3 linked regions of the Lepisosteus oculatus genome follow. Each later gene encodes a partner of the first gene's protein in a complex. Links are inferred from orthologs where the notes say so. Each region holds a gene or a part of one and is shown on either strand. Other genes may lie near its edges. The genes, in order: polr1h, taf1b and polr1f.

Region 1 (3,753 bases):
AGTGTTCACAGCTGTGCGTGGCGGAACAAGGAACCTTAACAGAGTGTCTCGCCACCCTGTTACTCATTTAGACGAGAACATATGATCTTTTAAATGCAGACGTGGATCCGCACTCGTTCAGGACCTGCAGTCTCTGAATCCAGCAGTCCCACTGAAGGCGGTGTTTTTGCGGTCACACACGCACGAAGATCTGTACAATAGTACCGCCAACCTCACCGTGCTGTGGAGGGGACATCTTGTCCCGGGACAAACGGGCTCCGACAACAACCAGCCCGTCGGTCCCTTTCGACCGATCGAGCAGCACGACTGACAATTTCCAGATCCGTGTTTTTTTTTTTTAAACTAGCGGATGTAAAACCGCGCCGGACGTGAGCGAGATCGGGGCTACACGGGGGATCACCCCCCCAACTCCCACTCCCACGGACACGCGAAAGCTCACGGGACGGGCTCAAGCCGTGTCTCCGGACCGGACCGGACCGGACCGCGGGCACCCCGAGTGGGTGTAGGGGCGTTAGGAAATCCGATTTTTTCCCGTCTGTTCGAGGTTTTTTTTGTGTGTGTGTGTGTAAAACTACAATGGCCCAGTGCGGGTTTTTTTTTTTGTTCTTTCAAAAAGACGGGCCCAGTCGCGCCACCCAGCAAACCGCCCTCACGCGAAAAACAAAAATTCCCTTCGAGAGAGGAGTCACGCCGACCAGCACGGAGAAGAGGCGGAAGAAAGCGGTTTATGAGGAGAAAAAAACCCGCAAACGGCGCGTTGAGAGGAGGGGGCGGGTGGTGGTTTTTAACCGTGAAATAAAACGCGTTTACCTTCGAATGGTTTCTCCGTCTCTCGCAGCAACGACTTCGGGGCGTTTGGTGACGTCACTCGGGTGCGCCGGCGCCGCGACCCACCGTCCCCCTCCCTCCCGTTTTCCCATGATGCACTACGCGCAGGACTCCCGTCTTTTTCCCCTCACAACCTTTTATTTGTTTTTTTTTTTCCAAACAAAACAGAAAGGGTGTTCACAAATAAAAACGCACAGACACAGAACGGCACGCGGCCAGAGGTGATTATAACCTAGCACACAATCAGTGAACATCTTTACAGACGTGAGGTGTGTTTTTCCGGGTTTTTAATGGAAATAATGTTTCGCTTTCACCATACAAAAACATTGACGGAGGGAGAAGCCTCAGATAATTTTGTTTCTGATTTCTACCCAGACTATTAATAGATTCATGCATAAATGTTCTTATATAGTTCGTATTACTATAAAAAGCACTTAGATACGGACACTATAGAATAACAAAACAAAGACAAAAAGTGTTTTTTAAATGCCGGCGCGCATTGAACGTCACTTCCGTTGCCGGGCTGACGTCATGCGCCCCAGCAGTCCGCAGCCAGGAAGAGCTCTCGACTGTGTTTGTGTTCTGCGGACGACACGTGTCTCGGCGCAACAGCGAGGTGAGGGCGACAGCTACCCGCGACTGACCTCCGATCACGGTAGGGACCCCCTGATATAATGCGGAATAGGCGTTATCTGGGACGGTTACAAGGACTCTTAACTCGGCGGATGGTTGTTCTTAAAGACCAAGTTGGAACGGCGCCTACAAATAGCGAGTAAGAGACCGGGTCTGACGACCTACAGGATCAGTGACCACAGCCTGGACACAGACACTGGTCACAGGCAGACCTGGCTGTCCAGAGAGGACAGGCTCAGTGACCACAGCCTGGATACACACACTGGACACAGGCAGACCTGGCTGTTCAGAGAGGACAGGCTCAGAGTGACCACAGCCTGGACACAGACACTGGATACAGGCAGACCTGGCTGTCCAGAGAGGACAGGCTCAGTGCCCACAGCCTGGATACAGACACTGGACACAGGCAGACCCGGCTGTTCAGAGAGGACAGGCTCAGAGTGACCACAGCCTGGACACAGACACTGGACACAGACAGACCTGGCTGTCCAGAGAGGACAGGCTCAGAGTGACCACAGCCTGGACACACACACTGGACACAGGCAGACCTGGCTGTCCAGAGAGGACAGGCTCAGAGTGACCACAGCCTGGACACACACACTGGACACAGGCAAACCCAGCTGTCCAGAGAGGACAGGCTCAGTGACCACAGTCTGGTTGTAAATTTTAAAGAGGCCAGGTTGTTCTCTGATAGTGGAATTTAGTCTGGGTTTCGAGAACGGGGTCGTGGCGGTGCGCGCCGGTCGCCCCGAATTGATCGGTTCCCCTCCGCAGCAATGTCAGCAGACGCCCTGCCCGGCTCCTGTTTCCACGGCGACCCGCTGTTCTGCCCGGAGTGCGGCACCGTGCTGCCCGTCCCCGGCGTGGAGGACGTGGTGAGCTGCCGGCGCTGCGGCTACGACATCGGCGTGAGCGGTCAGTGGCTCAGAGCAATTGATTGATTGATTGATTGATTGATCGATTGATTGATTGATGGATTGCGTTTCCCTGTGGGTGGCGCTGTTTGGCACCAACTAACCTTACCAGACCCCTGGACTGACTGGACCAGAGTCACAGACCCCTGGACTGACTGGACCAGAGGTCACAGACCCCCTGGACTGACTGGACTGGGGACACTGACCCCTGGACTGACTGGACCAGAGACACAGACCCCTGGACTGACTGGACCAGAGGTCACAGACCCCCGGACTGACTGGACCAGAGTCACAGACCCCCGGACTGACTGGACCGGGGACACAGACCCCCGGACTGACTGGACCGGGGACACAGACCCCTGGACTGACTGGACCAGAGACACAGACCCCTGGACTGACTGGACCAGAGGTCACAGACCCCTGGACTGACTGGACCAGAGGTCACAGACCCCCGGACTGACTGGACCAGAGGTCACAGACCCCCGGACTGACTGGACCAGAGTCACAGACCCCTGGACTGACTGGACCAGAGGTCACAGGCCCCTGGACTGACTGGACCGGGGACACAGACCCCTGGACTGACTGGACCAGAGTTACAGACCCCTGGACCGACTGGACCAGGGACACAGACCCCTGGACCGACTGACCCCTGGACTGACTGGACCGGGGACACTGACCCCTGGACTGACTGGACCAGAGTCACAGACCCCTGGACTGACTGGACCAGGGACACTGTCCCCTGGACTGACTGGACCAGGGACACAGACCCCTGGACAGACTGGACCAGAGGACACAGACCCCTGGACCGACTGGACCAGGGACACAGACCCCTGGACTGACTGGACCAGAGTCACAGACCCCTGGACTGACTGGACCAGGGACACTGTCCCCTGGACTGACTGGACCAGGGACACAGACCCCTGGACTGACTGGACCAGGCACACTGACCCCTGCTCCACCTGTGTGAGAGGGGATTTGCCCCAGGAGTGTGCAGGGCTCAGTCCCTCAGGAGTGCCCTCTCTCCCCCTCTGTGCTGCAGAGCTCGCTGACCAGGTGGTCACCTCGTCGGTCGTCTTCAACAGCCTGGAGTCCAGCAGCACCGCCATGATGTCCGAGGAGGAGGGAGAGCTGAAGGGCCCTGTGGTGAGTGTCCTGGGGTCGCTGGTCCCTGACCTCTGACCTGGGGTCAATGGTCACTGGCCCCTGACCTGTGTCCTGGTGTGGCTGATCCTTGACCTGTGTCCTGGGGTCACTGATCCCTGATCTCTGACCTGGGGTCACTGGTCACTGGCCCCTGACCTGTGTCCTGGTGTGGCTGATCCCTGACCTCTGTGATGGGGTCACTGGTCCCTGATCTCTGTCCTGGGGTCACTGATCC
Region 2 (3,753 bases), on another chromosome or scaffold:
CAGAAAAAGGACATGAGCCGGGAGGATGCTGGCTTTGTTAATGCTGTGCGCTTTATCTTGCGGGAATCTGTAGACTTTCCGATTCTGTTTTGGTGCTGCTCTGTAGTAGGAGCAGACGAAAGAGGAACATCGGCTTCCTGCTCTGCTCGCGCCCCAGGTCCAGCGGCTCTCCGCGCCCAGAGCCTCCCCCAGTCCGTGACGTGGAGCCCGGTACCTTGAACTGTGGGTCCACGCCCATCTCCAGGAGAGCGCTGGCTTGCTTCTGCAGGATAAACTGGAAGGCCTCACACACCATCCATTCCCGGCCTCGCTCTGAAATAACCGCCCGGGGGGGGGGGGGGGAGACAAATATTGCAAATATTGAGCAGTGAAGAAGGGGGATGTAGTGTATTAGAGAAGTGTAGAGAGCCAAGCAGTTCAGGTCAGTCCCACATCCAGAGCTGCCCACTCAGAATGACTTCAGAAGAGCTGCAACATGACATGCGAACCTAGCAATATTTCACAATAATTAAGCTCAGCAAATCAGAAGCCTTTTGTTTTCACAGATATGGAAATCCTTTGACGTATTTGGTTATTTTACCTCCTCGATTGAAAAGAAATTCTCAATTGCAATGGAGACAGCCTGGAGACCTGTGTATACAGCAGGAGATTCACAGCAGAAATCTGAGTGAAGTCTCTCTCTCTCTCTCAAGGGCAACAGCAGCAGCAGCCCAGCAGCCCACAAATGAAAATTTACTGAAGCTCAGCGGGTGTGAGCCTGGTTGGTACCTGGATGGGAGACTCCTGGGAAAACTTAGGTTGCTGCTGTTAGTGGGGCCAGTAGGGGGCGCTCACCCTGAGGTCTGCGTGGGTCCTAATGCCCCAATATAGTAATGGGGACACTATACGGTAGAACAGGTACCACCCTTTGGATGAGATGTAAAACCGTGGTCCTGACTCTGGTCATTAAAAATTCCAGGATGTTTCTCGAAAAGAGTAGGGGCTTTACCCCAGCATCCTGGCCAAATTCCTTTCTGGCTTGTTTTTCCATTTTTAGATTTTGAACTGTCATTTTCTATACCCAGCCCATAGTATTTTAACAGAGCAAAAAGGAGAGATCTGCCGTCACAACCGGTACTGATACATGATGAAGCTTTGCAGGTTCCCAGTTGCTGCAGACAACACTCTAGTACGTGAAGTCAGCATCCATCACTTCCCATAAACACAGGTCACGGCTCTCAGGTGAAAACCCACATATGAGAACAACTTCAAATTCCGGATGCAAAATGAATAAAATATTGAGTATCCAGAGAAAGAGCTTTGGAACCGCAGCACGTCTTCAAAACTGACATCCAAACCTCTCCTAAGAGCAAAGACTAACTAACCTAGTTTTTTCTTCTGCCGTAGACTTTGAGAAATAGAGGAGATTCTTGAGCTGGAACCACAAAAGACGTCCTCAGGGTCCAATTCTTTGGTTCTCTGTTACAACAAGAACAGTTGTGAGAATTTAAGCATTTGGGAGATAGACAGTCAGACACAAAGGGGCTATATAGTATATGGATTCTAGTCTAGGTTTTTTACTGTGGGTCTGTGAAAGGAAACATAAAAAAACACAGGGCAGCAGCAGCAACAACACATTAAATAACATACAACTTACAAAAAGTAACAAGTAAAGGTTTATTCCATGTTGAAAAGAGAAAAAAATAGACAACGCCCCGAAGAAGGCTCCCCAGCGTGAAACGTTGTTTCCTTTCTTCTCTTTTCAGCAGGGAATAAGCCTTTACTTGTTCCTAATAATCTAACAGGTCTGCCTCACCTCGATGACGTTCTGGCAGGACCTACAGTAGAACTTGCCCTCATCCGTCAGCCCCCAGTCCACCTCGGAGCACACCAGGCACGGCTCCCGGTAGTCCTTCTGCAAGAGGCAGCACCGCACAAGACATACAGTACAGAAACACGGAGGAAGGCGACGCAGGCACACTTATTCTGTGTCGCTTCCACCAAACTCTTCTTAATGTCACTCCTGGAATCACCAGTGATCCCCAGTAGCATGGGTACATTTTGCCCAAAAAACAGATTACGATTTGTTTTTTTGAGACATGTATGTATGTTAAATGAACTGTATAGTGTTCTTTAAAGCGTTTTTTTTTCTTTTCTACAATATATAAAATAATGTTATTTTTATTTTAGCATATCGTTAATCGGTTCCCCGGTAAGGGTTGAAGGTTTTGATTGGAAAATAGCTATCAACCCATGGTTTGTCTGACCTGTCTCATAGACCAGATTTTTCTTCTCTCCGTTTTCGCATTGGGAGAGTTTTTAAGCGTTATTTAAAATACGACCAAACGCAATTGAAGTGTTTTTTCATCAGCTTAAGTGGAAAACGTTTACTTGCTATAATACAACGTCAAAGACAGTTTGGCAGTACAATCGCCCTTGACTATACCTCGCAAAAGCAAAGTCAGTACCGTAACATCATTTTAAATCAGTAAATAACTTACAGTATGTTCATCATCCATGAGGTATTAAAAGGTATATACAGTCCACATTCTTCAATGTTTGTAACTACTACAAACATGCGGTACTTCCGGTGTAACACTTAAATGCTGTCGTGTTGCAACCGTGAGCGTCTGTAACAAGGCGTATGCAAAATGCACACATACGTTAGTTATTGATTGGGGCTGTGTATTTATCTGTGTTTCGTTTTGCTATATGATATATAGAGAAAGTCAGATAATCTTTTTAAGTTTAAGAATGTATATGAATATTTTAGGGTTTTTGTAGGCGAATGAATCTTTAGCGGTAGCGACCTAGTTTCAGATGATTTCGTTTTATTAAGTTTAGCATCAGATTTTTCAGTTAGCTACCATCACATGACCTTCACTTCACTATCGTGATTCAGATTGCAAGTGTAAAAACGCCAGTAAGAGGATTAAGCGAATTTAGCTGAAAGTTATGTTGCAGATTCAATGGTAGTATCTGTGTAAAAATGGTGTTTTAAAGGGCTGGAGAAAATTATGAGCTGTATTTCTATTCTAAGATTCCGATTAAAACCTTAGAACCCATTGGGGCAGCTTTCCTGTATAGTACTTTAATGACTGCAGAGATTTGTGGTGCAGAGATCCTAACCTGGAAATAACCTGCAGATATCTACCTACCGTACAACATCTGAACAGCATAAGAGCAGCTGAGATAATAGAAAACACCATTGCCTGAAATCATGCGTATCGTGTTGCACATTTTATCAGTTGTGGGAATGGGTCACGGCTTCAGTTCGAAAACAGAAACGCTATGATGATATTAGACTACTAAATGAGTCGCTAATCTTTTCAGACCACTTCTAATGAACAACTGGCCCATAATCTCCACATACACAGTCTGTCACAGTCGTTAGCTGACCTTTGAGTAGGGAGCTGTGTCAGCATGTGCTGGCTGTAAACTAAGACGTAAAGGTTCATTCCATGCAGAAATGTAAAAAAAAAAAGAGAAACACAACGTTTTGGCCATGGGGCCTCTTTCAGTGTGAGGAAACTGGCATTTTTGTTTGGTACCTTGGGAATTAGACAACTGCAGGGAATGGGGATGATATTCTGAAACATCTGACACAAGGTATTTCCTCGTCTCTGATAAATGACAGGATTCATGCTTCATGACAGGGGAGATGTCTCCATATACTGTATCAAAGACAGCAATGATGAATAATGAAAAGGTTCCTCAGGCTTGTGCAAATATAGACAGCAATGATGAATAATGAAAAGGTTGCTCGGGCTTTTG
Region 3 (3,753 bases), on another chromosome or scaffold:
CTGGGAAGCTCTGATCTAGAATACTCTCAAACCTCCATGACTCACACTAATTGGTATTTCTGCTGGCAGTCAGCGGACATACGTACCACAAGTTTTTGTCCTTTTTTAGGCTGGAAGATAACGAAGGACGCTTCTATGTTCATATGGATATATCCTTGATCATCATAGATATGTCCATGTTCTCCCACAACTTTAATGTTGTCATAGGCGAGAGGAACACCTTTTAAACTAGAAGGAACACAAAACACAGATGCACAACATTGCTGTAAAGAGACACTGCTTCAGAATATCCATCCAGGCTCTAAGAGTAAGCAGTAGAATGCAGCAGTTTAAAAGATGTGTTCCTACTATTTCACTAAGTGATCAGACGTTTAGCACTCTCAGGAAAAGATGGAAGGAAACCACTGACACTCATTAACTTCATGTGTTTTTGGTACCAATAATATCTTCAAACAGCTCAATGCTAACACTCCAGTCTTTTTATTTTTGTTCTTAAGTCATTTCCAGCCAAACCACTGACAAAAACAAGCATCTTACTACTTCAAGCAGGTAGCTGCATCAGCATGCGTAGGCTACAAAGGTTGCGTTTCCTTTCTTTTCAGCAAGGAATAAACCCATTACCTGTTTCTTTGCATCTTACTATTGTTATACATCTTACAACAGAACAATGAAATAAATTATAAAAAGCACTATAAACTGTTATGAATTGAAATCACAGCAAAATGTCTCTTGGGATCAGTTATATCTACATCAGAAGGTACATGTTTAAAACCACAATACAGAGGTCCGTGACTTGGTTGTTTGAGTACTTAATAATAATAATAATTGCTTACACTTATATAGAGCTTTTCTGGACACTCCACTCAAAGCACTTTACAGGTAACCACCACCAATGTGCAGCCCCACCTGGATGATGTGACGGCAGCCATTGTGCGCCAGAACGCTCACCACACATCAGATATCAGTGAGGAGGAGAGCAGAGTGATGAAGCCAGTTCATAGATGGGGATTATTAGGAGGCCATGATTGGTAAGGGCCAATGGGAAATTTGGCCAGGATGCCGGGGTTACACCCCTACTCTTTTCAAGAAACGCCCTGGGATTTTTAATGACCACAGAGAGTCAGGACCTCGGTTTTACATCTCATCCAAAGGACGGCACCTTTTTACAGCATAGTGTCCCCGTCACTATACTGGGGCATTAGGACCAACATGGATCTCAGGGTGAGCGCCCCCTGCTGGCCCCACTAACACCTTTTCCAGCAACAGTCTCAGTTTTTCCCAGGAGGTCTCTCATCCAGGTACTGACCAGGCTCACACCTGCTGAGCTCCAGTGGGCTGCCAGTTGTGAGTTGCAGAGTGATATGGCTGCTGGCTTTTAATTAATTAAATTGCATCAAGGTGACGGCGACACTATACTGTAAAACAGGCACCTTCTTTCAGATGAGACGTAAAACCAAGGTCCTGACTCTTTGTGGTCAGGAAAAATCCCAGGGCATTTCTCGAAAAGAGTAGGGGTGTAAACCCGGCATCCTGGCCAAATTTCCCATTTGCCCTTACTAATCATGGCCTCCTAATAATCCCCATCTCTGAATTGGCTTCATCACTCTGCTCTCCTCCCCACTGAGAGCTGGTGTGTGGGGAGCAGACTGGCGCATCATCCAGGTGGGGCTGCACACTGGTAGTGGTGGAGGGGATCCCCATTACCTGTAAAGCAATTCGAGTGTAAACACAATATAAGTGTAAGCAATTATTATTACTATTATTATTATAAATAATTACACAAACTGCATTGAATTCAGAGCTCAAACGTCACTAAAGGCAGAAGGCACTGACCAGGCCCTCCAGGAAGTGAGTCTGAGACCATGCTCTACTGCCTAAGTTGCAGATTCATTTAAGTCCAAATGTTCCGCCGTCACATTTACCCAGAAAGTGAACTGTTAATGCATGTAGGGAGTTATACTTGTTATATATACAGTACACATGCTCGATGTATCCATGCTGTAACTGTTCACGTCCAGCTTACCCGTTCTACCACACACCGATATATCACCGATAGTGACCATCCCCAGGCTGAGAGTTTCCTACCTTTCTGAATATTTCAGAAGTTCCGTGTTAAGCTGATCCTGGATTCCCGTCCTTTTCTTACTTAGATACATCGGGGCAAGAGCGATGTGCCTCCGGTGAGTGTCCACAACCAGGCAAGAGTAAGGCGCGTCTACCAGGTTACAGGCATCGGAAAAGGCCGGAATCAGACACTGTACGACCGGCTTCTGCTCCAAAGTCGGACCTTCTGGCGCAGGCGGTGGACTGGAGCTGGACACCGGAGGAAAAATCTTTTTTACCTTTTCGGAGTCGTCCTGCTCCGCGGCCGCCATGCTGCCAGCTGCCGTAAAGTAGTTTTCCCCACAGCTCTCAACGTGGTGTCGTGCCAAACGTCACGGGTTTTGGGGGGGAGGAGATGAGGGGCAAGTATTTAATGATCAGTTGCAGTGATGTCCCCACCTGCTGGCCTGGTGGAGGCTGTGCCGTTTCAGTCGGGTGGGTTTGCGTTTTCTTCTTGCATGTTGCAGATGAACGAGAATTCAGAAAAGTGACAGGAAACACAAACCCTGCCACAGCTCCAGGTTTTTCGTTGTTTAAAAAAAAAAAAGAAAATCCTTGTAAAGAAGCCCTCTTAATGGTTAGAAAAATGAAATGTTGGTTTTGAATTTATAAGAGTATTTTAAGAATATATTCGGGGTTTTAGGCTTTTAAAAATATTGAAATAACCCTTATTTACCAATTGTTTCAACCGTGTTACGTGCTTAAACATTCCATCACAAAGCAAGCATTAAAAACTCAAATGTTAAACATTTGAACAAGTCAGGAAACACCAAATTATACAAAATTATAAAGTATTATACAGCTGCGCTCTCTGAAGGGTTGCAGACAACATTTCAAATATCACAACTTCAATAATCCCATTGAACAATCTAATTCAGCAATACGTTTCAGGCAAAATACAGATTAATCTTTAAATTTCCATCTTTCATCACACACAACACAGTCCCCACCCAAAACTCACTGAAAAATGTGGATTTCATGGTGTTTCTGCATCTAGTCTTGCTTAACATCAAAGGCACCGTGGACACTATGAGCTGCTTTTATTTCTCTCTATGAAATTGTATTATATGTTATATATCTCTTGATGTAAGGAATGAGAACAGTGACACCGTGATATTACTGAATGTTAAGTTAACAAATGACCAGTTATCAACTGAGAGAAACTGAATGGTCAATTCAACAGGACGTTCCTCCAGATAGGATCGTGACAGATTGTGCCAACCAGCCTTTTGAATTTCTGCTCTTGTAACACTGAGCCCAAAAACCAGTTCAAAGAAAATTAAGTTTACCAGCACCTGAGGTGATGGGCTATTGAACAGTATTGATTGATACTAATGTACTGTATAAAAGGTGTCTGTTTCCACACAGTGGGTCAAAGGTCAGGTGAGAACAAAGTAAATGCTGGTCAAAGGCAAAGGTATTAAGGAGATAGATGGCTGTTACTCTCAGAGCAGGAACATGAGGCCTGTACCTGCGGGGCCTGTCTCCAAGCTCATATCCTGCTCTAAACAGCTGAAGGTAATAGAAGCACAAAACAAAGCGCATTACAGAACATGGCACATGCAATTAGCTTCTTCAAATTCCCCAGTAACAGAAGTCTTTTGTTGTACAAAATCAAAGAAAAAAATTGCATGGAAGAGGATATGGGTT

What was found.
Region 2: polr1h (region 1) and taf1b share a complex: the UniProt entries of both Homo sapiens proteins name them as parts of the pol I pre-initiation complex. The link is inferred for Lepisosteus oculatus from reciprocal best matches to the Homo sapiens genes POLR1H and TAF1B.
Region 3: polr1h (region 1) and polr1f share a complex: the UniProt entries of both Homo sapiens proteins name them as parts of the RNA polymerase I (Pol I) complex. The link is inferred for Lepisosteus oculatus from reciprocal best matches to the Homo sapiens genes POLR1H and POLR1F.

Annotation. Positions count from the first base shown.
Region 1 is NC_090709.1:41,007,866-41,011,618, reverse strand, and holds the start of polr1h (DNA-directed RNA polymerase I subunit RPA12), read left to right. Parts: upstream 1-1,204; 5' UTR 1,205-1,314; coding exon 1,315-1,483; intron 1,484-2,235; coding exon 2,236-2,376; intron 2,377-3,414; coding exon 3,415-3,518; intron 3,519-3,753. UniProt on the Homo sapiens protein: Core component of RNA polymerase I (Pol I), a DNA-dependent RNA polymerase which synthesizes ribosomal RNA precursors using the four ribonucleoside triphosphates as substrates. Can mediate Pol I proofreading of the nascent RNA transcript.
Region 2 is NC_090697.1:11,859,668-11,863,420, forward strand, and holds the start of taf1b (TATA box-binding protein-associated factor RNA polymerase I subunit B), read right to left. Parts: upstream 2,588-3,753; 5' UTR 2,499-2,587; coding exon 2,481-2,498; intron 1,895-2,480; coding exon 1,796-1,894; intron 1,459-1,795; coding exon 1,365-1,458; intron 313-1,364; coding exon 215-312; intron 1-214. UniProt on the Homo sapiens protein: Component of RNA polymerase I core factor complex that acts as a GTF2B/TFIIB-like factor and plays a key role in multiple steps during transcription initiation such as pre-initiation complex (PIC) assembly and postpolymerase recruitment events in polymerase I (Pol I) transcription.
Region 3 is NC_090705.1:1,841,306-1,845,058, reverse strand, and holds the start of polr1f (DNA-directed RNA polymerase I subunit RPA43), read right to left. Parts: upstream 2,424-3,753; 5' UTR 2,376-2,423; coding exon 2,086-2,375; intron 229-2,085; coding exon 87-228; intron 1-86. UniProt on the Homo sapiens protein: Component of RNA polymerase I (Pol I), a DNA-dependent RNA polymerase which synthesizes ribosomal RNA precursors using the four ribonucleoside triphosphates as substrates.